Macaca mulatta: one gene and its partners. The protein of the gene in region 1 interacts with the protein of each later gene in a biochemical or structural test. Links are inferred from orthologs where the notes say so. Each region holds a gene or a part of one and is shown in the gene's direction. Other genes may lie near its edges.

What was found.
Region 2: the proteins of SUMO2 (region 1) and EXOSC9 form a complex in vitro, tested with the Homo sapiens proteins (2 studies listed by BioGRID). The link is inferred for Macaca mulatta from reciprocal best matches to the Homo sapiens genes SUMO2 and EXOSC9.
Region 3: the proteins of SUMO2 (region 1) and TUBB form a complex in vitro, tested with the Homo sapiens proteins (2 studies listed by BioGRID). The link is inferred for Macaca mulatta from reciprocal best matches to the Homo sapiens genes SUMO2 and TUBB.
Region 4: the proteins of SUMO2 (region 1) and SENP6 form a complex in vitro, tested with the Homo sapiens proteins (2 studies listed by BioGRID, with this or other methods). The link is inferred for Macaca mulatta from reciprocal best matches to the Homo sapiens genes SUMO2 and SENP6.
Region 5: the proteins of SUMO2 (region 1) and CHAMP1 form a complex in vitro, tested with the Homo sapiens proteins (2 studies listed by BioGRID). The link is inferred for Macaca mulatta from reciprocal best matches to the Homo sapiens genes SUMO2 and CHAMP1.
Region 6: the proteins of SUMO2 (region 1) and MUS81 form a complex in vitro, tested with the Homo sapiens proteins (2 studies listed by BioGRID). The link is inferred for Macaca mulatta from reciprocal best matches to the Homo sapiens genes SUMO2 and MUS81.
Region 7: the proteins of SUMO2 (region 1) and SETDB1 form a complex in vitro, tested with the Homo sapiens proteins (2 studies listed by BioGRID). The link is inferred for Macaca mulatta from reciprocal best matches to the Homo sapiens genes SUMO2 and SETDB1.

Annotation. Positions count from the first base shown.
Region 1 is NC_133421.1:84,873,388-84,877,724, reverse strand, and holds the start of SUMO2 (small ubiquitin-related modifier 2), read left to right. Parts: upstream 1-1,512; 5' UTR 1,513-1,641; coding exon 1,642-1,662; intron 1,663-3,276; coding exon 3,277-3,408; intron 3,409-4,337. UniProt on the Homo sapiens protein: Ubiquitin-like protein that can be covalently attached to proteins as a monomer or as a lysine-linked polymer.
Region 2 is NC_133410.1:130,631,152-130,634,532, forward strand, and holds the end of EXOSC9 (exosome complex component RRP45), read left to right. Parts: intron 1-2,290; coding exon 2,291-2,369; intron 2,370-2,380; exon of another isoform or gene 2,381-2,681; coding exon 2,682-2,766; 3' UTR 2,767-2,821; downstream 2,822-3,381. UniProt on the Homo sapiens protein: Non-catalytic component of the RNA exosome complex which has 3'->5' exoribonuclease activity and participates in a multitude of cellular RNA processing and degradation events.
Region 3 is NC_133409.1:152,322,301-152,326,604, reverse strand, and holds the start of TUBB (tubulin beta chain), read left to right. Parts: upstream 1-1,261; 5' UTR 1,262-1,335; coding exon 1,336-1,392; intron 1,393-2,434; exon of another isoform or gene 2,435-2,718; intron 2,719-3,361; coding exon 3,362-3,470; intron 3,471-3,739; coding exon 3,740-3,850; intron 3,851-4,168; coding exon 4,169-4,304. UniProt on the Homo sapiens protein: Tubulin is the major constituent of microtubules, a cylinder consisting of laterally associated linear protofilaments composed of alpha- and beta-tubulin heterodimers.
Region 4 is NC_133409.1:110,131,264-110,135,865, reverse strand, and holds the start of SENP6 (sentrin-specific protease 6), read left to right. Parts: upstream 1-1,708; 5' UTR 1,709-2,352; coding exon 2,353-2,404; intron 2,405-4,602.
Region 5 is NC_133422.1:108,401,756-108,404,496, forward strand, and holds the end of CHAMP1 (chromosome alignment-maintaining phosphoprotein 1), read left to right. Parts: coding exon 1-1,848; 3' UTR 1,849-2,140; downstream 2,141-2,741. UniProt on the Homo sapiens protein: Required for proper alignment of chromosomes at metaphase and their accurate segregation during mitosis. Involved in the maintenance of spindle microtubules attachment to the kinetochore during sister chromatid biorientation.
Region 6 is NC_133419.1:8,558,813-8,562,657, reverse strand, and holds the end of MUS81 (structure-specific endonuclease subunit MUS81), read left to right. Parts: intron 1-27; coding exon 28-120; intron 121-217; coding exon 218-339; intron 340-418; coding exon 419-519; intron 520-1,109; coding exon 1,110-1,226; intron 1,227-1,328; coding exon 1,329-1,424; intron 1,425-1,625; coding exon 1,626-1,754; intron 1,755-1,811; exon of another isoform or gene 1,812-1,828; coding exon 1,829-1,932; intron 1,933-2,375; coding exon 2,376-2,504; intron 2,505-2,595; coding exon 2,596-2,662; 3' UTR 2,663-3,049; downstream 3,050-3,845. Other genes in the region: CFL1 (cofilin-1), read right to left, coding at 3,530-3,691. UniProt on the Homo sapiens protein: Catalytic subunit of two functionally distinct, structure-specific, heterodimeric DNA endonucleases MUS81-EME1 and MUS81-EME2 that are involved in the maintenance of genome stability.
Region 7 is NC_133406.1:116,158,281-116,162,132, reverse strand, and holds part of SETDB1 (histone-lysine N-methyltransferase SETDB1), read left to right. Parts: intron 1-1,690; coding exon 1,691-1,847; intron 1,848-1,936; coding exon 1,937-2,095; intron 2,096-3,032; coding exon 3,033-3,665; intron 3,666-3,852. UniProt on the Homo sapiens protein: Histone methyltransferase that specifically trimethylates 'Lys-9' of histone H3. H3 'Lys-9' trimethylation represents a specific tag for epigenetic transcriptional repression by recruiting HP1 (CBX1, CBX3 and/or CBX5) proteins to methylated histones.

The DNA of each region.
Region 1 (4,337 bases):
TCGGAGAGGGAATTGAGTGATAAAAGGATCTTGAAGAAAACCCTAAGGAACAGTTAAGGGAAGGAGTGAGTAAGAAAAAGAAATTGCAGAGAGAACAAAGGACAGGCTAGAGATGAGAGGAAAACCTACCTCCTGCAAAGTTCAAGAGAAAGAGTGACAAACTGAGAAGCATACTGGATTCAGCAAAGAAGTCTGCGGTGACCTTGTGGAGAGCAGTTTTAGTGGAACTTTGGGGACAGCACCAGATTGCAGTGGGTTGAGGAGTGAGTGGGAGGGGAGGGGTTGGAGACAGCTGGCAGGGACATTTTTTCAAGCTGTTTGGCCAAGAATGGAGAGAGATAGGATGGTAACTTAATAGAATTGAGAGCTTCTTCTTTTTTTTTTTTTTTTTCTATACTAACGGAGGAGAGGAAGAAAATTCAGGGACAAAAGCAAATAATAAAGCCCAGGGGGAGGAGCAAGATGGAATCCAGTGCACACACTGGATTGTTCTTCAGACAGGAGGGATGCATGTCTATGTTTTAACTGGATGCAAGGAGGAAATGATTAAATTGGCTGGAAGCTTGATTGTTGGGTAGTTCTCGCTTAAGGATACTGTTTCCTCTTGGAAGATAGGCGATGAGTAAGGAGTTCGTTGAATGAATACACGAACATTTTCCCGTAGCTAGTCAAAGTCTAGGGTTACCAGCAGGACAGAAGAAGACACTGCAGGCCGGGTATGGTGGCTCACGCCTGTAATCCCAGTACTTTGGGAGGCCGAGGCGGGCGGATCACGAGGTCAGAAGACCGAGACCATCCTGGCTAACACGGGGAAACCTTGTCCCTACGAAAAATACAAAAAATTAGCCGGGTGTTGTGGCGTGCGCCTGTAATACCAGCTCCTCGGGAGGCTGAGGCAGGAGAATCGCTTGAACCTGGGAGGCAGAGGTTGCTGTGAGCCGAGATCGTGCCACTGCACTCCAGCCTGGGCAACAGAGCGAGACTCCGTCTCAAAAAAAAAAAAAAAAAAAAAGAAGAAGACACTGCATTTGAGGCAAGAGTCCGGTGGGAAGCAGGTTAAGACTGACTGAGAGGAAGTAACCATGGGAGGGCTGCTGGTCCACTGAAAGAGAGAGATTTTTCCAGAACCTCATGCTGGGGCTTTGATTTAGGAATCCCCTTCTTCCTCTAGTCAGTCAGCCTTCCCTGGCCTATGGCTCACGTCTAAAGCCTCGAGCCTCATCGTTCCCACCGAGGACCAGCTGGAAGCCATTTTGATTATGCTCCACCACGAAGGAGGACAATACAGCCCCGCCCAGAGCCAGGCGCGCCCCCGCGGCGGGCCGGGTGCGCGTGTCCGCGCTTCTTCCCGCCGGCCGGGCGGGCGCCTGGCCCAGGACGCGGTGGCGCGGGGCGGGGGGTGGGGGTGGTTATGTAAGCGTTGCGCGCTCCCGCGAGGCGCCAGCCAATGGGAGGCCCCGGCGGCTCGTGCTCGCGCACGCAGGGTGGGGGGAGGGAGCGCACGACGTGCGCGCACCCTCTCCCTCGTCCACCGCTGCCGCCTCCTTCTTCTGCCGCTCCTGGTGCTGCTTGTGTGCTCGTTTGGTGCGGACCTGGTACCTCTTTTGTGAAGCGGCAGCTGAGGAGACTCCGGCGCTCGCCATGGCCGACGAAAAGCCCAAGGTGAGCTCGGCGCCGGCCCCTTCGCCTCGCCGCGCGGTCGGGGTCAGGGCGCGGGCCGGGGTCCGGCCAGAGCTCGCCGCTGGCTCCCAGCGCCTTCCCGGGCCCCCCACAGGGCCGGCCGCAGCTCAGGCCCCGGCGCTCCGCGCCATTTTCCTCCCTCCCTCTCTTCCTCCCTCCCGCGCCGGAGGAGGCCCCGCCGCTCTCTCCCGCCCCCGGCGGCCTCCGAGTGCGCGCGGGGCGCGAGTTGGGCGGGCAGATCGCGGACGCCCGCGGGCCCACCAGCCCCGAACGGGGATTCTTGGCCCAGCCGTCCGGCGCGCGTGAGGAGGGGCGTTAGGGCGCGCGGGGTCTCCACCCTGCGCCGACCCCGCGTCGGGTGTTGCAGTCTCCGAGGCGGCGGGGAGTCCCCTGGGCTCGGGCTTCACCTCTCAGGGGTAGAAACCGCGGGCATCTGGGGACTCCTGCCCGGGGCGGCGGCGGCGGGGCGAGGGTTCGGGGCGAATCAATGGGCTGCTGATGAGCAGGAACCTGGATGCCCGCTGGCCGCCGTACTGGGCCTGGGGGTAGGGGGATTCCCGTGGAGTATTTCCCACTTTAATGGCCTCAGGGACCTGAGGGGGGAGGGGCAGCGGCTTTTCCCTGGGTGCCAACGAACCCCTAATCCGCGAAGACCATGTGGTTTCATGAAGTTGGAGGCACAGGTAGGAGCAGAGAGACTTTGTGCGGCTTAACTTTTGAATGCGGCTTTTGAGGCACCCGAAGACTTCCCGGGAGGACTGGGGGACACCCATCATCGGGGCACACGGGACTTGCTGCTTTTAGTTTGGTGACACCTCCCGCCTCTCGCGCCTTTACTTTCTGAAGCGTTTTAGGGCTACAGCATGCCTTCTACACTCGATTTTGGACAACTTTAGGTTGGGTCGAAATCTACAAGAAACACTTGGGATAAAACTGTGTATTTGACCCATGACAACAAAGGGGAGGGGAGAATAAGTGCTCTTAACCGAAGATAAAAATGAAGCTGCTAATAGAGGAGAACGTAACTGTGGTCCTGAGTATTACCGCTGTTCCGGAGGGAATCGGGATATTCTTCGATTTTTCGTGTGTGTGTTTACTTTAATGGAGATTGGATTTAGGTTATTAAACTGAGTTTGGTAACTTTTTAACGACAACGGTAATGAGTTTTGAATGGCAGGCTGTAGATTTATTGTTTTGTTTCTTGCAGTTGTACTTAAAGTGCTTAGAAAAGAGACTCTTATTTTTAACTTTTTTTGGGGGTAAAATATATATTTTGGGAGTGATATATGCCATTTTAGAAAGTTTAGCTTCAAGAGAACGTTCAATACACTGAATAGGACCCAACTTTAAACATGTATTGTTGTTACTGATAGTATTGCATGTAGGCTTTTCTGTATCTGACAGCTATCTAATACTGTTGCTGCAGGATTTCTCCTCTTTCACATTGATTTCAGCAGCTGAAAACAGCCGTATGCCGTTTTAGCATACCGTATGAGAAACCTGTTGATTTTTGAAGCAACTTAGGGCTGCTGCTGCTTTATAAAAGTGTGTGTTGATCACATTTCCCAAATTATACTTTTATTTTTCTTTTAACAGGAAGGAGTCAAGACTGAGAACAACGATCATATTAATTTGAAGGTGGCGGGGCAGGATGGTTCTGTGGTGCAGTTTAAGATTAAGAGGCATACACCACTTAGTAAACTAATGAAAGCCTATTGTGAACGACAGGTGAGGAATTCATATGTGTACTTCCACTGAATAAAACTATTTTTAAAAATCTTATTTTCATGGGAACAAAAACTAGCCTGGCATAATACTACAGTGACTTTTTGATGGGATGAATATGCACTTGTACTTGGCATGTCAGTTTTATCGTGCACTTGGTAGCTTGCTCATGAAAACCCTTAGGATGATTTGCTTAGTATTATATGTGGTTCCAGTCCTGTGCCAGAAATCCATCAAATTGTATTTACAATACTTGTTTTTTGGTTTTTTTTTTAACCAAGGAAATGTAATTTTATGTTTATAAGAAAGTAAGAGTGAACTTGGTAAAATTACTTAAGAGTCTTTTATTATTTTATTTTATTTTTTTGAGACGGAGTTTCATTCTTGTTGCTCAAGCTGAAGTACAGTGGCGTGAGCTCAGCTCACTGCAACTTCCACTTCCCGGGTTCAAGCAGTTTTCCTGCCTCAGCCTCCTGAGTAGCTGGGATTACAGGTGCCTGCCACCACGCTTGGCCAATTTTTTTTAGTATTTTTGGTAGAGATGGGGTTTCATCATATTGGCTAGGCTTGTCTCAAACTCCTGACCTCAGGTGATCCACCCGCCTCGGTCTTCCAAAGTGCTGGGATTACAAGCATGAGCCACTGCGCCAGACCAAGAAGTCTTTTTTTTTATTTTTTTTTTTGAGATGGGAGTCTTGCCGTATTTTTTTAAGCTAGAACTTATCTACCTTGTAAATCGTGGGGTTTTTTTTGTTTTTTTTTGGTTTTTTTTTGACAGAATCTTGTTCTATTGCCCAGGCTGGAGTGCAGTGGTTCAATCTCTGCTCACTGCAACCTCTGCCTCCTGAGTTGAAGCTATTCTTTTTTTTTTTTTTTTCCCCCCCGAGACGGAGTCTTGCTCTGTCGCCCAGGCTGGACTGCAGTGGCCAGAT
Region 2 (3,381 bases), on another chromosome or scaffold:
TTGTATATACAATAATGCATAAAATGTGTATATTTATATTATCACTATATATAGTAATATATAGCATATCAGCTATATAGAGATGTATACTAGATAAATAACATACAGGATACTATATAGAGAGAATATAGATATATAAATATAGGGATATAAGTATTGCATTTTTAGAGGGGCTAAATATTGTGATTTAAATTTCAACTAAATTATTGTGGCTAACTGCAGTACTAACACGACTTGCTAAAAGAATATGCATATCTTTGTAGAGTAGTGGTACACTTTGGCATAAAATGATAGTGACATTTTTAATTAAAAAAAATTTTTTTTTGTAATGTATTTGGGTGGGTTTTAAGGGAATGAGTTTCTGGAAGATCTTATTCCTCCGTGCTGTCTTTTTTTGTGGTTTCTAGACTGAAACAAAAAGCCCATCCTTTATCGGAACATGTAATACTGTCTAAATAAAACTTTCTGGGATAGAAACATTACACTGGTATAGCAGCCACTAGCCCCACGTGGCTACTGAACACTTGAAATGTGGTTTGTATTACTGAGAACTGAATTTTTAATTTTATTTAATACAAAATTAAGCAGCCACATGTAGCTAGTGGCTACCATACTAGACATTGCAGTATTAGAACATAAAAAAATTCTAGAAATGACTAGAATACTGATAGTCCTAGACGTTGCTTGCATTTTGAAAGCCATAGAACTGAAGAAGTTGTTTTTGTGTATGGTTATTTTTACTTAAAAAAAAAAAAAAAGCAAATTCTTGCTGGTCTAGATAATAGAATAATGACTTATTTTCTTATGTGGTAAGAACAGAAATCCTACAAGGAACTGGGAACTAGGCTGGCAGGGAAAACTGAAGGTGATATGTTTAGTAGGAATGTAAAACAAATACTTCTGTTTTCAAAGAGAGAAATTATGAACACTACTAGAGCCTGAGCTTTTTGTTTTTTTACTTAATAGGGAAGGAAAAAATTTCCCATTGATTGGGACCCTTACTCATATTTCCCAGTGGTTACTTCTATTTGGTATAATTCTTCCAAATACTTGTCCCAGGTATTTATTTACTCTCTGTGCAGTGATATAAGCTAATGCTGCATAGACTTATGTAGCATTGAATATAACTAGTTGGTTTAACAATTCTCTTATTGTTGAAGATGTAAGTTGTTTCCATTTTTTCACTGTTAACAATATCCTTGCACTTGCATATACCTTATATGTTTGTTTAGTGTATTCTTCTAACAGTGAATAGTATTTTCAATTGAATATAATGAAGGTGGACCTAAGAATTGGAAAAATGGAGCAGGTACAGCCTTTCTAAAGCATGTGAAGAAAGGGAGAAACTAACTGAAAACTAAAAATACAAAGAATTGATATGGGTTAATTCACGTTTTATGTATATCATTAACTAATGATCAGGAGAAAAATAGGCAAAAGACAGGGAGCAGTACTCAAAATATACAAATGGCCAGTAATATTTTTCATGGTCAGCCCTGATAGTAATACAAATAAAATCCAAAGAAAAATGACATGGCATTTTTTGTTACTGTATTTTGGGCAGTATTAAAAATACCAGCAATGCCAAAGGTATATGGGAAATGGGTTTTTATTTATTGGAATGTAAACTGGAACTATTTCTGGAGGAATAGAGTAGCACAAACAATTCAATTGTCTCTACAAAAGATGATATATAGATTTCCCCCTAACTTTTCTATTATGACATGTACCAAATTGTCACGCCATTCGAGCACTTGCAGGAAATAAGAGTTTAAAGAAACAAATGTTACAGACAAGTTCTAGAGTGCTCTAAGAAGCTGATTTAAAGAGAAGAGTAAGCCTCCACCTAAAGAGTGGCATGGGCTGTTATATGCAAATAGTCTTATTTTTATTTATTTTTTAGGATGGAGTCTTCCTCTGTCACCCAGACTGGAGTACAGTGGTACTGCAACCTCAACCTCCCTGGTTCAAGCGATTCTCATGCCTCAGCCTCACGAGTAGCTGGGCCTATAAGCACATGCCACCACAACTGGCTAATTTTTCTGTTTTTAATAGAGATGGTGTTTCACCATGTTGGCCAGGCTGGACTCGAGCTCCTGACCTCAGGTGACCAAAATGACCTCAGCCTACTAAAATGCGGGGATTAAAAGTGTGAGCTACCACGCCCAGCCCAACCCCAGCCCCAGCAGTAAGAGTTTTAGAACGTCTGATAGAAATAAACTTGTGCAGAAGTAAATATTGCAAGAGATTGCTTACCCTTTTTTTTTTTTTTTTTTTAAAAAAAAAAAAGATGCTCCCATAATACTGTCAGATAGTGAAGAAGAAGAAATGATCATTTTGGAACCAGACAAGAATCCAAAGAAAATAAGGTAACACGTTTCTGGTTTATTTCAAATGTATATATATATATATTCAACACTTCTAGAGGTTTGCTCTCTGGTTTTACTCTCATCTTGCCACACGACTATAAACAAAAAGACGTCCCTTTTTCATTAGCGATCCATCTGTTCTGTGATTTCTTTACCTTGTGATTTATAAAAATTAGGACCAAAATCTATAGAACTCTTTGGATGCCAGTCTTACACATTTTATATCCTATTGGAAAACTAAGAAATGCCTCTTATTTCAATAATCCAAAACTTAACAAGCATACGCTTAGTAAATTCTTACTTTATTAACAGAACACAGACCACCAGTGCAAAACAAGAAAAAGCACCAAGTAAAAAGCCAGTGAAAAGAAGAAAAAAGAAGAGAGCTGCCAATTAAAGCTAACAGTTGTATATTTGTATATATAACTATTAAAAGGATATTTATTCCATTCTAAGAACCCTGGGTATTTTTTATTCACAAATCCATTATAAAATCTAGCAGGGTTTTAAAAATAGTTTTTTGTTTTTAATGTTATGCTTTAAAATAATAAACCTTCTGGAGCATTTCTCGTCTGTTAATTTGCACGTAAGCTTCCCACCCTCTTCCGCTCCCAGCCTCTGTTTAGTTTGCAGAACCTAAACAGGTTTTACAAAGAGTGAAAAAGTCTGTATTCAGATATGCTTAGATTATGCCCATCAGCAAATTGATCCAGTTGCTTAGGAAAATGAATGTTAGAATTTGAGGGTCTGTTTTCCTAAACCTACTTTAATTTTAGAGGAAGGTTTTCACTTCTCATTATATAGTAAACCAAGTAAACTTTTTTAATTGAAATCCTGAAGAAGTTAAATTTGACTTGCGAAGTTTTCCAAATCAATTTATTATCCTGACAGCTGGCATCATTAATACTTTAACAAAACCACTTAAAATTAGCCAAATATCTAAGACAGATACATATACAAAAGATATACAAATTAAAACCATTTAAAAAGTAATAGATACCATAATTTGTAC
Region 3 (4,304 bases), on another chromosome or scaffold:
GAATGAACAATGATGTTGACTTGATACTACATTTCTGAGTGGCCAGACTGCAACATCCTGGAGGACAGGGAACTAATTATTAATCATTTTGTAACCATAGTTCCTAATTTGGTGGATACATAGTAACTATCAAATAAGTGAATAAATCTCTGGGAAGAAGCTGGTGGACTCTGTCTTGAGCCCATCCAATTTTCCCCCATCAATTTCCCCTCTCTCCTTTTTCAATACTGGGTATCTTGCAGAGTTGCAATGGCGGCCACCTGGTCAGTGAAATAAGCGAATTGAAAAACCACTGACTTCATTAACATGTCTAAAAAGGTAGGCTGAAAAAACTGAAAATCTATCAGGCATCTCATTCCATAGTTCCCTGTTTGACAAGAAGATCAAGGTGTCTTCAAAGTCTGCCCTAAGGCCCAGATCTCCTACGTGGATGGAGACTTCTAGTTTCACAAATCCCCGATGTCGGTTTCTCTAAACTATTTTATTCTTTGAACATACTCTCCAGACAACATCTCTATCCTGAAAAGCCCTTGCTGCAATTTTGTTTCTCTTTCAAAACAATGACTCGAAAATTTCCAAGGAAATAGCAAGAGGGCGATTCCCTTCTTGAAGTATTTGAGAGAGCAGAAGCTTACTTAAGTTCATGACTTGGGTCACCAAAGGCCAGAGGTAGCAGAGCACGGTGCCACACTCCTCCCCATTTTTCGCTGAGCTAAGCAATTCTGTCTTCCCTAGAGGTACTGCAGCTGGGAGCTTTTAGGGCGTACCTCACCACCCAACTTCTGGAACCCCAGACTTCTCAATCCCTGCATCCCCGAGAACTGCTCACTTTTTGTACAAAAACCTCAGGCACAGAGGAAAGGAATCTTGCGCAAGGTCGTTTTTCATTTACAAAACAAAAACCCAACAAAAACCAAACCGGTACCCACCCATTCGTCACTTCATTTTGCACCGTGAACAACAATAGGGGACTACAACTCCCAAAGAGGACTGCGCTCGTCCACTGGCTCAGAGGCCAATGGACGCCTGGTACATGACCGGCATCGACTAATCAGGGCCAGGCTCGATGAGGCTTTGTCTCCCGACCGCGCGCGGGGCCGATTCTCCCGCCTCCCAGCCCCGGCGCACGCGCGCCCCGCCCAGCCTGCCTTCCCTCCGCGCCCTCCCCTCTCCTTTCTCCCTCTCAGAACCTTCCTGCCGCCGCGTTCGCACCTCGCTGCTCCAGCGTCTGGGGCGCGTTCCAACCTTCCAGCCTGCGACCTGCAGAGAAAAAAAATTACTTATTTTCTTGCCCCATACATACCTTGAGGCGAGCAAAAAAAATTAATTTTAACCATGAGGGAAATCGTGCACATCCAGGCCGGTCAGTGTGGCAACCAGATCGGTGCCAAGGTAAGAATTTTACACCTCTTTTATTTCTTTTTAGAAGGAAAAATCCAGGTAAGTTATGAAAAAATGGTTGTGGGGCATTTGCACTCTCCATTCTTAATCAAGCTTTGCCCCTCCCAAGTTTGTTACATTTATATATATAATAACTAGCATTTGCTTTTGGAAAACTGGGAATCATTTTTCTTGGCAGGCACATTTTGGAGAAACTAGTAAAAGGGCTCTTCGGGTTTCGGGGGCGGGAAGACCAAGGACATATGTTACTTAAAAGGGCTTCTAACGGTCCAAGAACCGGGCAGGGAGAGAGATGCGGAAACAGTCGGAGACAAAGCGGGGCGAGGTTTTGCCCATGTGCATCCCGCCCAGCCCCCCCTGCGGGGTTCTTAGGGCCAAACGGGAGCGGGAAGGGGTGAGGCTGTCGGGCGGCTGCAGAGAGCTCCAGTGCAAAGGTCGGGGGGCGATGCGCCAGGGTGGGCTGCGCTGGGCGCTACCATTCACAAAAGATCAGGGACCCCAGCGCGCCCGCGACCCCGGAGGGCCGGTCCTGTAGTTGTTCCGGGGTGGAAGGAGAATAAGAACGGGATTAATTTTTCTTGCTTTCATGGCACCTAAGCGAGACCTCTTTAGGGCGTGAACTGATATGTCGAGAAAATGGGGGTGTGTGGTTTTCTTTAACGAGTCCTTCAGGACTTAATGGGAGAGAAAGAATGCTTTAAATCAAGGGGGAGAAATCTAGCAAAGGAATAAAATTCCGAGGCCAAGGGTTTTTTTTTTTTTTTTTTTTGCGCGCGGTTACAGTGTAGCGGGGGAGGGGCGGGAGGAAGTGCGGGTGCTACGTTGTAGCAGAAGGGCGGGGCCCTGCGGGGCGGGGCCAGGGCGCCGCTGGCGCGCGGGGACAATGCGGCGTTGCCCGCCGGGAGGGGCGCGCTACCCTGGGCCCCGCCCCTCGCGCGGAATTCTTGCCCCTGGCCCCGCCCACGTGCGAAGTCCTTTGTCGGCGGCTCGACCTGCGCGTGCGCCGCAGTCACGTGGAGGGTGGGGGGTGGTCGACTGCGGCAGCAGCTCTTCTAGTGCCCCGAGCCTTTTGTGCGCCGCGCGGTGGGGCGGTGCCCAGCTCGGGGGAAGAACAGCGGCGCTTATCCAAGTATGGTCGACCTCCATCCGCCCACCGAGCACTTGGGACCCGCTGCACATAATCCCGAGCCGGGAAAGCTGTGGCTTTCCCGGGGGAGCGAGTGTCTAGGGGAAGGGTGTGGCAGGCACACGGGATGCCAGGCCCTAGAACAACGGCCTGAGCGCGTGTGGGATTAAAATGGGAGATGTGGGGCTGAGGCGGGCTAATTGGGATCGCTCCCGCTCAGGGGTTTGAGACCATCCTGGGCAACAAAGCGAGACCCCTCCCCCCGGCCACATCTCTTCAAAAAAAAAAAAAAAAAAATTAACTGGGTGTGGTGGCGCGCGTCTGTGGTCCCAGCTATTCGAGAGGCTGAGATGGGAGGATCGGTTGAGCCTGGGAGTTTCAGGCTGTAGTGATCCGTGATTGCACCACTGCACTGCAGGCTGGGCAACAGAGGAAGACCCTGTCTTAAAAATTAAAAGAAGCTGGGCGCGGTGGCTCACGCCTGTAATCCCAGCACTTTAGGAGGCCGAGGTGGGCGGATCAAGAGATCTAGACCATCCTGGTCAACATGGTGAAACCCGTCTCTACTAAAAATACAAAAAATTAGCTGGGCGTGGTGGCGCGCGCCTGTAGTCCCAGCTACTCCGGAGGCTGAGGCAGGAGAATCGCTTGAACCCGGGAAGCAGAGGTTGCAGTGAGCCGAGATAGCGCCATTGCACTCCAGCCTGGCGACAGAGCGAGACTCCGTCTCAAAAAAAAAAAAGAAAAAAGTTAAGAAAAAGATGAAATAAAATGGTAGTTGGGGACGTAGTTGACTGGGACTTGACTTGTGGTCTCGTTGCTCCTGCCCGGCAGTTCTGGGAGGTGATCAGTGATGAACATGGCATCGACCCCACCGGCACCTACCACGGGGACAGCGACCTGCAGCTGGACCGCATCTCCGTGTACTACAATGAAGCCACAGGTAAGGGCAAGAGCCCGGGCAGCTCAGGTTCCCCTTCCCTGTCTCCCACTTCTCTGGGGTCTCTTTCCATTCCTGGCACGCCTTATCCCCTTTCGGTGAATCTATCATTTTCTCCCTTTTGTGAACCACCGTCGGGGCCAAAGACGTCTGCTGCCACCTGGTGGCAGGACCTGGAACAAGTCTTGGGTCCCTGCTGTCTTCCATTCCCAGTGTATCTATAAACCTTTCCCTCTGCCAGATCTCACAGCTCTTAACTTTATTCTTTGTAGGTGGCAAATATGTTCCTCGTGCCATCCTGGTGGATCTAGAACCTGGGACCATGGACTCTGTTCGCTCAGGTCCTTTTGGCCAGATCTTTAGACCAGACAACTTTGTATTTGGTAAGTTATACAGATGATATTAGCAGATGATATACTATCGTGTTCAACTTATTTGGGTGCAAGGACACAGCAAAAGTTAGGAGATGATTGTTGTACTGGAGTGCTAAGAACTGTATTCTGAAATCTAATGGAGGGTAGAGGTAGGGTAGAGGTAGTGCCTGCTGTTGCTGGTACATTATGGGGCAGTGGGGGGAGAATACATCACAGTGAAGGAGAAAGAAGATACATCCAAGGGAATTATTTCTAAAGTTGAAAGATGGAAACATCATGTATCTTCCATACCCTGTTAATTGAGCTTTTCTCCTGACTGCATTCCAGGTCAGTCTGGGGCAGGTAACAACTGGGCCAAAGGCCACTACACAGAGGGGGCCGAGCTGGTTGATTCTGTCCTGGATGTGGTACGGAAGGAGGCAGAGAGCTGTGACTGCCTGCAGGGCTTCCAGCTGACCCACTC
Region 4 (4,602 bases), on another chromosome or scaffold:
TGATTGAGCTAAAGTCAAAGTGTCAGTTTTCCTTTCTGGAGACTCCTGAGGAGAATTTTCTTGCCTTTTCCAGCTTCCAGAGGCCACACACATTCCTTGACTCCTGGCACCTTCCTCCATTTTCAAAGCCAGCATATATGCATTTTAAAAGCAAAGATTTATTTTTAATTAAAAAAACAGTTTCTCCAAATGGAATCAAGCTGCTGAAAGTTTTTTTTTTTTTTTTTTTTTTTTAGGGAGTCTAGCTCTGTTGCCCAGGCTGGAGTGCAATGGTAAGATCTCGGCTCACTGCAATCTCCGCCTCCCGGGTTCAAGCAGTTCTCCTGCCTCAGCCTCCCGAGTAGCTGGGATTACAGGCATGCGCCACAACGTCCAGCTAATTTTGTACTTTTAGTAGAGACGGGGTTTCTCCATGTTGGTCAGGCTGGTCTCTAACACCCCCGGACCTCAGGTGATTCACCCGCCTGGGCCTTCCAAAGTGCTGCGATTACAAGCGTGAGCCACCGCGCCCAGCCTGAAAGATTTTTTTAAAAACTACATGTTGAAGTCTGTACAAATGGCCAGTTACCCACATTTGCCTATTACCTACACATCTCAGTATTATACTGTCATTGGCACAGACGATGTCATAGAACATCACAACAGGATCATGCAATAACCTCAGGCAACAAACATAAATTATATTCATTGCACTACTCTTGCCAATCAGGAAAGATTATTGGTTGGCATTAGGAAAAAGATTTTAAAGGACGTTTAAAACAATAAGCCTTTCTGCATAGGCCTTCGTTAATAAGACAGCTGAATTAGAACAGTCCATTCCCCAAAGACTGCACTTAATCATACCGGTTTTCTGCATCATTTTAATTGCTGTTGACTTTTCATTGACATTTAGCATAGATTTTTCCTCATTTTTGTTTTTTAAAGAACGATACTGAAAGACAAGAAAAATGCTATCAGAGGAGTACAAACGTAAAGGAGTTGAGTTTCAGTCGTGAAACAGTATAATCGTTTTCTGTGCTTTCCATATTTCCTTGAATGAGAATGTAGTTTTTTAATATGAAAAAAATTTTAAAGGAAAAGAAGTTAAAAAAAAAAAAAAGCCTCACTTGTAAGGTAGGGTATGGTTTTTTTAAGTCTCAGGCACGTAAATGACAAGGGACTTCTTTAAAAAACAAACAAACAAACAAACAAAAAAACACTGCCATTTAAAGCTGACTGGTACGATCTTCCCTAAGTTATTTTGAAAACTTCTTGAAAAATAAATGTAGACCACGAATCATTTACCAAACATGTGATTCCAGTACCTCACTACCTTTTCTCTTCAGGTGGCTGTAGTTTAAATTCTAAGGCCTCCTCAAGAAATGACATTTTCACATTTCTTAGGCATCTGTGGTGTCAGAGGAACAAACCCATCACCGGCCTGGCGCAGAAGCGCACACGCCAGGTCTGCCACCGGGCCCCGAGCTGTGGGGATTTTGGATGTAACGTGTCTAGGCCGAACCTGCGCCGTGAAAGGCCGACCCTGCCGAAAGCCCGGGCGGCGGGCGCCCACAAGTCAGGGCTCGGTGCGGCGCGGCAGCCAGCTCTGCGGGCGAGCCGAGTCCGGGCTGCTGAGGGGGAGCAGCGCCGGGGGCGGCGGCGTCGGGGCGGGGGCGGGAGCCGGGCGGGAGCCGGGCGGCAGCTCCAGCGCCCGTGGGGGAGGAGCGGCAGCGGCGGCGGCTGGAGCTGCTGTGGCGACCGACGCGAGGCGGTGGCAGAGGAGACCCACCCCTGTCCACATGGACAGTCGCAAAGGCCTCCGCTGATGCATTCACGCCTGGGCGGGGTGGGCGGACGGCCGTAGCGGCGGCGGCTGCAGAACGAGTTGGGGGCCTGGAAGCGCCTGACGGTCGCGGAGACCTCGCCGCTCCGGCGCGGCGGTGCGGCCATTTTACGGCCTGGGACGAAGGGAGGCGTGTTTGTGTGCTCGCTTTCATCCTCCTTTCTTGGGAACCCACGGCCGGGGGAAGTTTCTCAGGCAGCCTAGGTGGGCGGTGGATGGGGAGTCGTGGGCCGAGAGGAACCGGGCCCGGGAAGCGCCGTCGTCGTCGTCGCCGCTCGCGTTCCCCCCGAGGGGCCTGAGAAGCTCGGGCCGCGGGCCTCGCTGCCCGCCAGCCCGCGGACAGGCCCGGGCGCGCCTGGCCTGCTTTTGTGTAGGCCCATCTGAACGTGGGAGCGCCGCCCGCCTGACGGCTGAGCCCGAGGCCCGCAACCCTGCGGCGTCTACCCTCCTCCGGCGCGGCCCCTCATCCCGGCGAGCACGGCGGCGGTGTGGGCCATGGATTAAGAAGGAGGCGGCGTGGGAGGAGGAAGATGGCGGCCGGCAAGAGCGGCAGCAGCGCCGGGGAGATTACTTTTCTGGAAGGTACGTCTATTTCTGCTCTTGACGGAGAGAAAAGAGGGTATACTGGAAAACGTGGCCCCCAGAACCCCGGGTATTCAGTTATCTGCGCTGGGTGGGTTTGGGGGGCGGTGAAGTACGAGGGATGAGCGATGACGGAGAGGGAGTGTGCTGCGAGCGCGCTTGGTTCGAGTCCGCCCAGGCGAGGGGCTCGGCTGCGAGCCGGTTCGGCCCAGGGGGCGCGGGTGGATTGAGCCGCGAGCCAGAGTTGGTGGGCGTCCTTTGAGAGTGCGCGCTGAAGTCTTTGACATTTAAAAAAATTTTGGGGTGGTGGCCTAAGGATGAGAGCAGCCAGCATTCACATCTTGTTTGGTGTTCATGAAAAGTTTCAAATTGCTAAGGTTGGGTGCAATTGGGGACCAATCTAAGTAGGGAGGGGACAGACAGTTTCATTGAGGTGTGTTTTATACCCTCTGGTCTGTTTCTCAGAGTTTCAGGCTTGCTTTTGCAGCCAGCCTTCCGATTAGGCCTGGCCTTGTCTGATATTCTTTCGGAATGTGTTTTTATAAAAACATTCTATAAAATTATCTGGAAAAAGAGTAAGGTTTACAGTATCAATTTTGGGGCCGTAACTAAAGCTCATTGACACAATTTGAGTGTTTTAGTTACTCGTGAGGGAAAGTTAAACGTTTGCTGTAAGTAGACTAAGCCAGTCTCAAGAAAAGCTGTACGTTTTTGTTGGGGAAGGTGGTAATGGGGAGCAATATTGATTTTTTGGCCTATGAATATATAAGGACCCCCAAAATAGAGCTAAATGTTATTGTAATTGTAGACCAAGAAGTGTCTATATTACTTAATTTGACTATGGGTTCAGTGTTTAGTGATTGAGTTTATAAATATGTTTATCAAAATGAGTCTCTGCTGCTCACAGACTCGTTTTGTTAAAAAGAATTAACTACTCTTTGGATAATTTTGCAAAGATGATTTTCATTGCAATATGTCATAAGCTTTACTTCAAAAAATAACTTTTTTTAGTATGTTTCGGAAACATTACTGAATCAAGAAAGTACGATTTAACTTGAAATTAAGAAAACCCCTAAATAGGTTCTATAGGAGGGTGTTGAGGAATGGGAATGCCTTGGTACTGCTTTGTTAACAGCACCTCGAACAGTACCTGGAACACCATAGGTACTCAATATTAGTCTAGTGAAAGACTAGTGAATAATAGAGGTAATTTTTCTTAATTCTTTTTTCTTGAGTATAGTGAAGTGAAAAAAAAATCTTACCGTACAAGCCAGGCTTTATCTGAAAGTGATGAGAACTTTACAGGAGATTTCCTAGTAAGAGTAAGAAAAGCTTCTGAGTTTTTCTGGGTTCATTTCGTATTATCTCCATTCCAGTTTGCAGAATGGGTACCTGTCAAGAGGCTGAGGGTGCAGCTTGTGTTACAGGTAGTGCTATGTGTGTTGTTTTTGTTTTGAAATCGGAGACAAAAGATGGCTTACTCGTGCTTATTATCTTCAGTATGCAGATGATTATACTTTTCTGCTATCCTAGATTTCCAGCTTCTGTAGGCCTGATTGAGTTAAAATTCTAATTGGATGAACATAGGGAGGATTTTTAAAAGTACAAATAAAGCCACAGATGTAGAGTTAATGTGAGTTTCAAACTACTGCTTTTAGTTTATTCTAATCTAAAGGTCTTTGAGTGTACAGGTGTGATACATTCGAGTTTCACCATGTCTTAAGCATTTTCATAAAGCAAGCAAATGGTAACTTCTTTAGAGCATAAGCATAAGGGTTTTGAGCGCGGTGGCGCACACCTTTAATCACACACAGCGCTTTGGGAGGCCGAGGCAGGCGGATCACTTGAGGCCAGGAATTGGTGACCAGCCTGGCCAACATGCGAAACCCCTCTCTAATGAAAATAACGAAAATTAGCCGTGCGTGGTTGGTGTGCGCCTGTAGTCCCAGCTACTGTGGAGGCTGAGGCAGGAGAATCGTTTGAAAACGGGAGGCAGAGGTTTCAGTGATCGCGCCACTGCACTCCAGCCAGGGCAACAGAGCGAGATTCTGTCTCCAAAAAAAAAAAAGCGTAAGGGAAAGGAGCAATTTTAGTTCCTCATAACACATTTTCATATACTATATTGAATCTTTCCAAATAAACGAATTGTATTTAATACTACTTATGTTTTCTGCTTAATTTCCCATGATTCTTTTGGT
Region 5 (2,741 bases), on another chromosome or scaffold:
AAACCTGCCCCTGTTCCTTCTCCAGAACCACAGAAACTTGCCCCTGTATCTCCTGAGCCCGTAAAGGCTACTCTTCCTAATCCCAAACCCCAGAAGCACTCTCATTTCCCAGAAACACTGGGCCCACCTTCAGCCTCATCTCCAGAGTCACCAGTTCTAGCTGCTTCCCCAGAACCTTGGGGACCATCCCCAGCTGCATCTCCAGAATCTCGGAAATCAGCCCGGACTACCTCCCCTGAGCCAAGGAAGCCATCCCCTTCAGGGTCTCCTGAACCTTGGAAGCCATTCCCTGCTGTCTCCCCAGAGCCTAGGAGACCAGCCCCTGCTGTGTCACCAGGCTCTTGGAAGCCAGGGCCACCTGGGTCCCCTAGGCCTTGGAAATCCAGTCCTTCAGCGTCATCAGGACCTTGGAAGCCAGCTAAACCTGCTCCATCTGTGTCTCCTGGACCTTGGAAACCAATTCCTTCTATATCTCCTGGACCTTGGAAACCAACTCCATCTGTGTCTTCTGCATCCTGGAAATCTTCATCAGTCTCACCCAGCTCCTGGAAGTCCCCCCCTGCATCTCCTGAGTCATGGAAGTCTGGCCCACCAGAACTCCGAAAGACAGCTCCCACGTTGTCTCCTGAACATTGGAAGGCAGTTCCCCCAGTGTCTCCAGAGCTTCGCAAACCCGGCCCACCACTATCCCCAGAGATCCGTAGTCCAGCAGGATCTCCAGAGCTCAGAAAACCCTCAGGGTCACCAGACCTTTGGAAGCTTTCTCCTGATCAGCGGAAAACTTCTCCTGCTTCACTTGATTTCCCTGAGTCCCAGAAAAGTTCCCGTGGCGGTTCTCCTGATCTCTGGAAGTCTTCCTTTTTTATTGAGCCTCAGAAACCTGTCTTCCCTGAGACCCGAAAACCAGGTTCTTCTGGGCCATCTGAGTCCCCCAAAGCAGCCTCAGATATCTGGAAGCCAGTTCTCTCTATTGATACTGAGCCTAGAAAACCTGCCCTGTTTCCCGAGCCTGCCAAAACAGCCCCTCCAGCTTCTCCAGAACCACGCAAACGTGCCCTTTTTCCAGAGCCCCGGAAGCATGCCCTTTTCCCTGAACTCCCCAAATCTGCTCTATTCTCAGAATCACAGAAGGCTGTTGAGCTTGGTGATGAACTACAAATAGATGCCATAGATGATCAAAAATGTGATCTTTTGGTTCAGGAAGAACTTCTAGCTTCACCTAAGAAACTTTTGGAAGATACTTTATTTCCTTCCTCAAAGAAGCTCAAGAAAGACAACCAAGAGAGCTCAGATGCTGAGCTTAGTAGTAGTGAGTACATAAAAACAGATTTGGATGTGGTGGATGTTAAGGGCCAGGAATCAAGCAGTGATCAAGAGCAGGTTGATGTGGAATCCATTGATTTTAGCAAAGAGAACAAAATGGACATGACTAGTCCAGAGCAGTCTAGAAATGTGCTACAGTTTACTGAAGAAAAAGAAGCTTTTATCTCTGAAGAGGAGATTGCAAAATATATGAAGCGTGGAAAAGGAAAGTATTATTGCAAAATTTGTTGCTGTCGTGCTATGAAAAAAGGTGCTGTTTTGCATCATTTGGTTAATAAGCATAATGTTCATAGCCCTTACAAATGCACAATTTGTGGAAAGGCTTTTCTTTTGGAATCTCTCCTTAAAAATCATGTAGCAGCCCATGGGCAGAGTTTACTTAAATGTCCACGTTGTAATTTTGAATCAAATTTCCCACGAGGTTTTAAGAAACATTTAACTCATTGTCAAAGCCGGCATAATGAAGAGGCAAATAAAAAGCTAATGGAAGCTCTTGAACCGCCACTGGAGGAGCAGCAAATTTGATAGCTCAGTATGAATATTTGTTCTACAAAGGTGTTCGTTGAAACCATTCTTTGTAAGTATAGCTTATCAAATAGCCTAGTTGGATATGTAGATGACATGTGGTGTACCGTGTTTCACTGTCTCAGTTGTGTTACTAAGAATGAGCATTTGATTATTTTTTTCTGGTCTCTGTCTATGTGGCTATCTTGTAAGTCAATCAATTTCTATATAGTCCAGATGGATTAAACTTCTCATTTCTTTTAAATATGTATGAATAATAAAACAAGGAAGTAGGCATTCCATTTAATAATCAAGAGCAAGTTGTACTCAAAGCATTCAGTTAAAGTATATCTGTGTGTGGAACTAATTTCAGATAATAGAAAATATTAGTTGAAATGTTTAAGAATTAGGCATGAAAAATAAATTTGAGAAATTTTGTTTCCTCACATGTATTTTTAAATCATAAGAGTTATTTTCTATCTGATGTAAAATTAGTTTATAAATCTTAATCAGCTTCTAGATGTTTATTAGCTTTTATGTCATGAAATGTTGGAGTCTCAGGGTTGCTGATTGTCTGCTAATGGGAAAAATTGAGTAAGTCTTTAAAATAGTTTGCAGCCTTCTCCCACAGGAGACAAGTGGAACGATAAGTGTGATTTTAGATCTTTTTTGTCCATAGTTGTTTTCAGTGGAGTCTTCCATTCTATATCTTACCCTAAGATCTGGTTCTTCCCTCCCCATCCCAGCCCCCACCCGCCAGCTCACACTAATAGATGATTCTTAATTGCCAAATGTGTTAGAGTTTGTATGTCCTACTCCTGGGCCTTACATGTCGCCTGTTGGGGCTTAAGACCAGGTTAATAAGTAGGAACTGAAAGTCTTCCAGGTTCACAGTAGAAAATTTTATAGACATT
Region 6 (3,845 bases), on another chromosome or scaffold:
CCTCACATACCGATACCCCCCACTTAGTGCCAGTGAAGCAGGGGTCCAGCAGCCACCACTGGAGCTGAGGCCTGGAGAGTACAGGGTGCTGTTGTGTGTGGACATTGGCGAGACCCGGGGGTGAGTGAGGTGGGGAGAAATGAGGTAGATGATCGGAGGAGGCTGGGGGGTAGGCACTGCCCTGCCCTGATCTAGGATTCCTTCCTTGCCACTCCAGGGGCGGGCACAGGCCGGAGCTGCTCCGAGAGCTACAGCGGCTGCACGTGACCCACACAGTGCGCAAGCTGCACGTTGGGGATTTTGTATGGGTGGCGCAGGAAACCAATCCTAGAGACCCAGGTGAAGGGCCGTGGGCAGGCTGGCGCCAGGGGCAGGGCCTGGTGGGTGGGGGATCACAAGCTAACGGCTGGCTTGTCAGCAGCGAGCCCTGGGGAGTTGGTACTGGACCACATTGTAGAGCGCAAGCGGCTGGATGACCTTTGCAGCAGCATCATTGACGGCCGCTTCCGGGAGCAGAAGGTAATTTTGCTGGCTTTGCCAGGCTTCCCTGACTGCTCTGAGGCCCCCCTTTTCAGCCCAGAGCAATCCAGGGGCACTTCTGGCAGCCTCCTTGAGGCAGAGCCCTTTGGAATCCAGCCACATCCACCATGTGGTTGCTCCAGAATCAGACCCCCACAGGCCTGTCCAGGCACACAGTAGGAAGCTAGGTACCTGCATTTTTGGGCTGAGCTCAGGAGCATATTAAAGACCTCTTGGGTACCGAGCCCCTGCAGTCTTGGATAAACAAGGCTTAAACCTCCAGAATTGGAAATACAGAGGCCGTACCTTGGTACTTGCTGCTGGGTGGACCCCCTAGTCACAGAGGCCATGTACCGGCCCAGGGGAGGCTTGAAGGATGTTGAGAGATGGAGGAAGGGCTTTCTAGACAAGAGTGTCAGCATGAACAAAGCTGTGGAGGCCCTTCTGAGGCAGGTGGAGAGGCTAGGGAGGATGCAGAGGCTAACTGGTGGGAACAGGGTCGTAGCACCATTTTGAGTGTGACATCATGGACGCCCAGGCATGTGGTCATCCAGCCTGACCCTCCCTGCCCACTCTGTCCACTTCCCCAGTTCCGCCTGAAGCGCTGTGGCCTGGAGCGCCGGGTATACCTGGTGGAAGAGCATGGCTCGGTCCACAATCTCAGCCTTCCTGAGAGTACGCTGCTGCAGGCTGTCACTAACACTCAGGTGAGCAGGGAGGGCAGGGCCAGGCAGGCAGGGGCCGCTGTGGTCCATGGTTCATGGTCTGGGCCAGGAACCACCTTCCCTCTCTTGGGTCCTCTTCCCCAGGTCATTGATGGCTTTTTTGTGAAGCGCACAGCAGACATTAAGGAGTCAGCTGCCTATCTGGCCCTCTTGACGCGGGGCTTACAGAGACTCTACCAGGTGAGCAGAGGCCCCTGTCCCAGTGTCGGGACACAGCCCACAAGGAATTCACCTTGCCTGGGCCCTGTGCATCCCCAAAAGAAGCAAGGTAGGTGAGATCCCCATTTCTCAGGCTGGCCCCCCGAGGCTGAGGACTGGGCAGGGGCTGGCTGGAGTTGTCCCTTTGAGCTCCAGCCTGGCCTCAGTCCCTTCTTCCCTCAGGGCCACACCCTACGCAGCCGCCCCTGGGGAACCCCTGGGAACCCTGAATCAGGGGCCATGCCCTCTCCAAACCCTCTCTGCTCACTCCTCACCTTCAGTGACTTCAACGCAGGAGCCATCAAAAATAAGGTACCGTCTCTGCCCAGCTTCTCGGACGTGGCCTGGCCCAGACCCCCACTGATCCAGCCCTTCCCCAAACCCAGGCCCAGTCAGTGCGAGAAGTGTTTGCCCGGCAGCTAATGCAGGTGCGCGGAGTGAGTGGGGAGAAAGCAGCAGCCCTGGTGGATCGATACAGCACCCCTGCCAGGTAGGCCCTAGAGGGCCCTTAGGTGTCCTCAGCCCCTGCTCTCCGTGCATGGAATTCACCTTAATCCATGCTTTGTGGAGGGAGCTTGGCCTTGTGTGGGCTGTGCAGACCAGAGATGGACAGATCCCAGGGTGCTCATGGAGGTCAAGCGGGGAGGAAGCCAGCAGACCCACACAGTGTCCCAGGCATTGGAGGCCACAGGAGGGAGGGAAATGTCCCACGTGGTGGCGAAGAGGCTTCTTGGAGAAGGGGGCTGGGCCATTAAGGGGAGTGAGGGTGATGGTTTGGAGCCTTTGCTGGTTTTGCCCCAGGGTTCCCACAGGGAGGGAGGACAGCCAGGCTGGCCTGGGGCCTTGAGTGCCAGGCTCAGGAAGTGGGGCAGTGTCCCAACTCTTCTATCCCATGCTGACCCCTCTGCCTGGCCCCTCATGGTGCTGGCCCAGAGTGGGCCACCGTCAGCCTCAGAAACTCAAGCCCCTGTCCCCCAGCCTCCTGGCCGCCTATGATGCCTGTGCCACCCCCAAGGAACAAGAGACACTGCTAAGCACCATCAAGTGTGGGCGTCTACAGAGGTGAGGGCAAGAGACGGAACCTGGAGGGAGTGGTGGGGACTGGGGCTGCCCTAGGCCCAGGGCGTGACCCTCGCTGCTTCTCTTCCTGCAGGAATCTGGGGCCTGCTCTGAGCAGGACCTTATCCCAGCTCTACTGCAGCTACAGCCCCCTGACCTGAGCTTATGCTGTGAAACAGCCCCCAGCCCCCATCTGTACCCCCACGCAGGCTAGCCAGCCTTTTAACAACATCTTTTGTGGTAAAATTAGAATCTAAGTGTTTGCAGCCATATGTGTTATGTAGAAGATGCCTGGCCCTGGGGACCTTGTGAAATACGCAGGAACCAGGGATACCGTCTGGACCAGTGGTTTTTAAACAAAGCTGCTTAGGACCTGGGATTGCCTGGTCAGGGAGATGGAGTCAGTGGGGCACTGCAGCTTTGAATCGATTTTATGTCATCAGTTGGTCCTCATCAAATAAAACTTCCTTAGGAGTGCAGAGGGCTCATTGGGAAAATAAAAATAATAAAAATAAATAAAACTTCCTAAAAGAAAAGCTTGAAAACCACTAACAGTCCAGTTGCCTCTTTTTATAGAAAAACAGGCCCAGGGAACTACTAGGGCTTATCCAAATGTACAGTTTGAGGCAGAGTTAGGACTGGAACCCAGGGCCTCCTGGCGCTCTCCGGAGTAGAGTTTCTTAGGACCCCTGCAAGCCAGCCAAGTCCACATCTCTGGGCCAGGGCCTGGAGTCCGCCCTCCTCGTTACCTCCTCTCCTCTCGGGGTGGCTGAAGCTCGTGGTACAGAGCTCCCAGCTCCTGTCAATGGGGCCCCCTGGGCCTGAGCATATAGAGACCCCCATTTAGGTGAACTTGGCCTGCCCCTCCAAGTCCCACCCTGCCCCAGCCTGAGGCTTGCTGCAGTGTGACCCGCCCACCTCAGCCACCAGGACTCCTTCTTTCTCCCTTTATTGCCTTTCTCGTTCTACCCTTCGTAACAGGCTCCTCAGCTAGGGTAGCTGCAGGGAGGGTGGCTCCCTCCTGCTCCTCAGAAGGTGTAGGCCCCCACAAAGACGGTGAGCCTCAGTACAGAGCTGGCCCGGTAGCTCATGAGGGAATTCATGGTGACCATCTCCAGGTCCAGCACGTACTCCCGGGGGCCTGTCACCGGCCGGGCGAGGACCAGCATGGCGCTGACGTTGTTGATTTGCTGCAGGGCAGTGGGTGGAGGGATATATGTTGTGTCAGCCTGTGTGCTAGGCCCCTGCCCCAGCGTCACCTCCCTGCCCCGTGGCTGTGAGGTGGAGGGACAGCCCTGGCCAGGCTGCGACCCCAGACTCTCATCCAGCTTTTTGACACCCTCA
Region 7 (3,852 bases), on another chromosome or scaffold:
GCCAGGCACAGTGGCTCACAGCTATAATCCCAACACTTTAGGAGGCTGAGACAGGTAGGCGGTTAGCTTGAGCTCAGGAATTCAAGACCAGCCTGGGCAACATGGTGAAACCCTGTTTCTTCAAAAAACACAAAAATTAGCTGGGTACAGTGGCATTAAGCTGTAGTCCAAGCTACTCAAGAAGTTGAGGTGGGAGGATCAATTGAAGCCAGGAGGTCAAGGTTGCAGTGAGCTAGATCGTGCCACCGCACTCCAGCCTAGGTAGATCGTGCCACCGCACTCCAGCCTAGGTGACAGCATGAGACCCTGTCTCAGAAACAAAAAGCAGATTTGGTTTTCTTTTTTAATATTACTGTCATACTTTCTGGTTGATTTTTCCTGCCAAAATTAATTGGTTAAAGAATATATTTCTGAAAATATTCCCCCAAAGTATGTCATAATTAATCAGGTAAATCATCTGAGATAGGAAGATATAAAGTCTTATCTAAGGCCCAGCATGGTGGCTCATGTCTGTAGTCTCAGCACTTTGGGAGGCTGAGGTGAGAGGATCACTTGAGGCCAGGAGTTGGAGATCAGTCTGGGCAACATAGAAAGACTCTTATCTCTAAGAAAAAAAGAAAAAGAAAAAAGCTTGAGTGTGGTGTTGTGCACCTGTAGTGTTAGCTACTCTGGAGGCTGAGGCAGGAGGATTACTTGAAGCCCAGGATTTCGAGGTTACAATGAGCTAAGGTCAGACCACTGCACTCCAGCCTGAGTAACAAAGTGGAACATTGTCTATAAAAAGAAAAAAAAAAGAGGCTCCTCTGCCGATGGAGTAGCAATTTTTTTTTTTTTTTTTTTTTTTGAGATGGAATCTGGTTCTTTCACCCAGGCTGGAGTGCACTGGCACCATCTTAGCTCACTGCAACCTCCACCTCCCGGGTTCCAGCAATTCTCCTGCCTTAGCCTCCCAAGTAACTAGGGTTACAAGCACCTGCCACCATGCCCGGCTAAGTTTTGTATTTTTAGTAGAGACAGGATTTCTCCATGTTGGCCAGGCTGGTCTTGAACTCCTGACCTCAGGTGATCCGCCCGCCTCAGCCTCCCAAAGTGCTGGGAATAAAGGCGTGAGCCACTGCGCCCGACCGCTATTCTTTTATTCCTTTACTTTCTTAAAAAACTTGCTTTCACTTTAATAAAAAAAGTATTATCTAAGTCAAAACAACATATGCCAGCATCCATGCCAGTCAATAATAGGAACTGAGAGTCTAAGCACTTACTCAGAATGTGTCCATTGCTTTTTTGTTTTTTTTTTGTTTTGTTTTGTTTTTGAGATAAATTCTTGTTTTGTTGCCCAGGCTGGAGTGCAGTGACGTGATCTCGCCTCACTGCAACTTCCACCTCCTGGTTTCAAGTGATTGTCATGCACCTCCTGAGCAGCTGGAATTACAGATGTGCACCACTATGCCCATCTAAGTTTTGTATTTTTAGTAGAGACAGGGTTTCACCATGTTGGCCAGGCTGGTATCAAACTCATGACCTCAAGCAACCCTCCTGCCTCGACCTCCCAAACTGCTGGGATTATAGGCATGAGCCACCGCGCCCAGCCATTGCTGCCTTTTTATGTTGTATAAGTTAAGGATCAGATGTGTGACTGAATACAAGCATCATAGCTATCATCTTCTCAGTGATCAATTCCTTTTTCCTATAGGTGCTGTGAGGAGCAAAGGCCCTGTTGTCCAGTACACACAGGATCTGACTGGTACTGGAACCCAGTTCAAGCCAGTGGAACCCCCACAGCCTACAGCTCCACCTGCCCCACCTTTCCCACCTGCTTCACCTCTATCTCCCCAAGCAGGTGACAGTGAGTAAGTGTTATTCTTTCTTTTTTCTTCAGTTTCTTTCATATTATATTTTCCACATCCCTTACTATACGCCCTCGTCTCTGATCTCCTAGAAGCTTGGAAAGCCAGCTTGCCCAGTCACGGAAGCAGGTAGCCAAAAAGAGCACATCCTTCCGACCAGGATCTGTGGGCTCTGGTCATTCCTCCCCTACGTCTCCTGCACTCAGTGAAAATGTCTCTGGTGGGAAACCTGGGATCAACCAGACGTATAGGTGAGAAAATCTGAGGCTCTCTGTAGGCAGGATAGCAATGAGTGGTCACTGTGTAGGGGAAGGTTCCTTGGCTCTGAAGGGCTTAGTTTAAGTTTATGATGGTGAGGAGTTTGGACTTGAAAAGGAAGCTTTACCCATAGAAGTTTCTCAGAAATAGAAAGTAAGAATAATTGAATCGGAAGCTGGGTGCTTGGAAATGTGGTATCATCAGAAAGCCATTTGTTAAAACTTCTTGTTGAACATAGTTCCATCTTTGCTAAAATAGAAAGGAAACACCACAGCCTCTTTCCTTGAATCCTGGGAGTTAGTAAGGACATTTCTGGAACACACAGCAGACAAAAAATATATTGGTAGAAGACTGGACTCGACTTCCGTAATTCACAGGCAAATACATTTTAGGAAAAGGTACACTGTTGAAATAGAGATGTTAGGCCAGGCACAGTAGTAGCTCATGCCTGTAATCCCAGCACTTTGGGAGGCCGAGGCGGGCGGATCACCTGAGGTCAGGAGTTTGAGACCAGCCTGGCCAACATGGAGAAACCCTGTCTCTACTAAAAAGTACAAAACTAGCCGGGCGTGGTGGCGCATGCCTATATCCCAGCTACTTGGGAGGCTGAAGCAGGAGAATTGCTTGAACCCGGGAGGCGGAGGTTGCGGTGAGCCGAAATCATGCCATTGTACTCCAGCCTGGGCAAAAAGAGCAAACCTCCATCTCAAAAAAAAAAAGAAATAGAGATGTTATCAGTCAGTGAAGAGTAACCAGGGATTTTTGTCGTCCAGCTTTGATAGGGCAAGGGAAGATCTTTCTTGAATCATCTTTAGCTTCAGGAGCACAGCTGCTTGAAAGATGAAAGAAATGGCTTAGCTACCTGGAGGGTTAATTATACAACAGAGGTCCTGTTGCCTTCTGATCTGATCACTTGTATCTCATTTGCAGATCACCTTTAGGCTCCACAGCCTCTGCCCCAGCACCCTCAGCACCCCCAGCCCCTCCAGCACCCCCAGCCTTCCATGGCATGCTGGAGCGGGCCCCAGCAGAGCCCTCCTACCGTGCTCCCATGGAGAAGCTTTTCTACTTACCTCATGTCTGCAGCTATACCTGTCTGTCTCGAGTCAGACCTATGAGGAATGAGCAGTACCGGGGCAAGAACCCTCTGCTGGTTCCATTACTGTATGACTTCCGGCGGATGACAGCCCGGCGTCGAGTTAACCGCAAGATGGGCTTTCATGTTATCTATAAGACACCTTGTGGTCTTTGCCTTCGGACAATGCAGGAGATCGAACGCTACCTTTTCGAGACTGGCTGTGACTTCCTCTTCCTGGAGATGTTCTGTTTGGATCCATATGTTCTTGTGGACCGAAAGTTTCAGCCCTATAAGCCTTTTTACTATATTTTGGACATCACCTATGGGAAGGAAGATGTTCCCCTATCCTGTGTCAATGAGATTGACACAACCCCTCCACCCCAGGTGGCCTACAGCAAGGAACGTATCCCGGGCAAGGGTGTTTTCATTAACACAGGCCCTGAATTTCTGGTTGGCTGTGACTGCAAGGATGGGTGTCGGGACAAGTGAGTTGGTGGGGAGAATTGCTGCCCCTGCTTCCAACTTTGTTATGGTTGTCTTCCTTTTCACCTCTTCCTTTCCCTTGTATCTGTACTGCTTTCCCCATCTTCCTTTACCTCCTCCCTCACCTGGAACTCGTGCTATAAGGCCTCCATGAAAGCTATGAGGTAGGGAGACTGGAGTCTGACATGG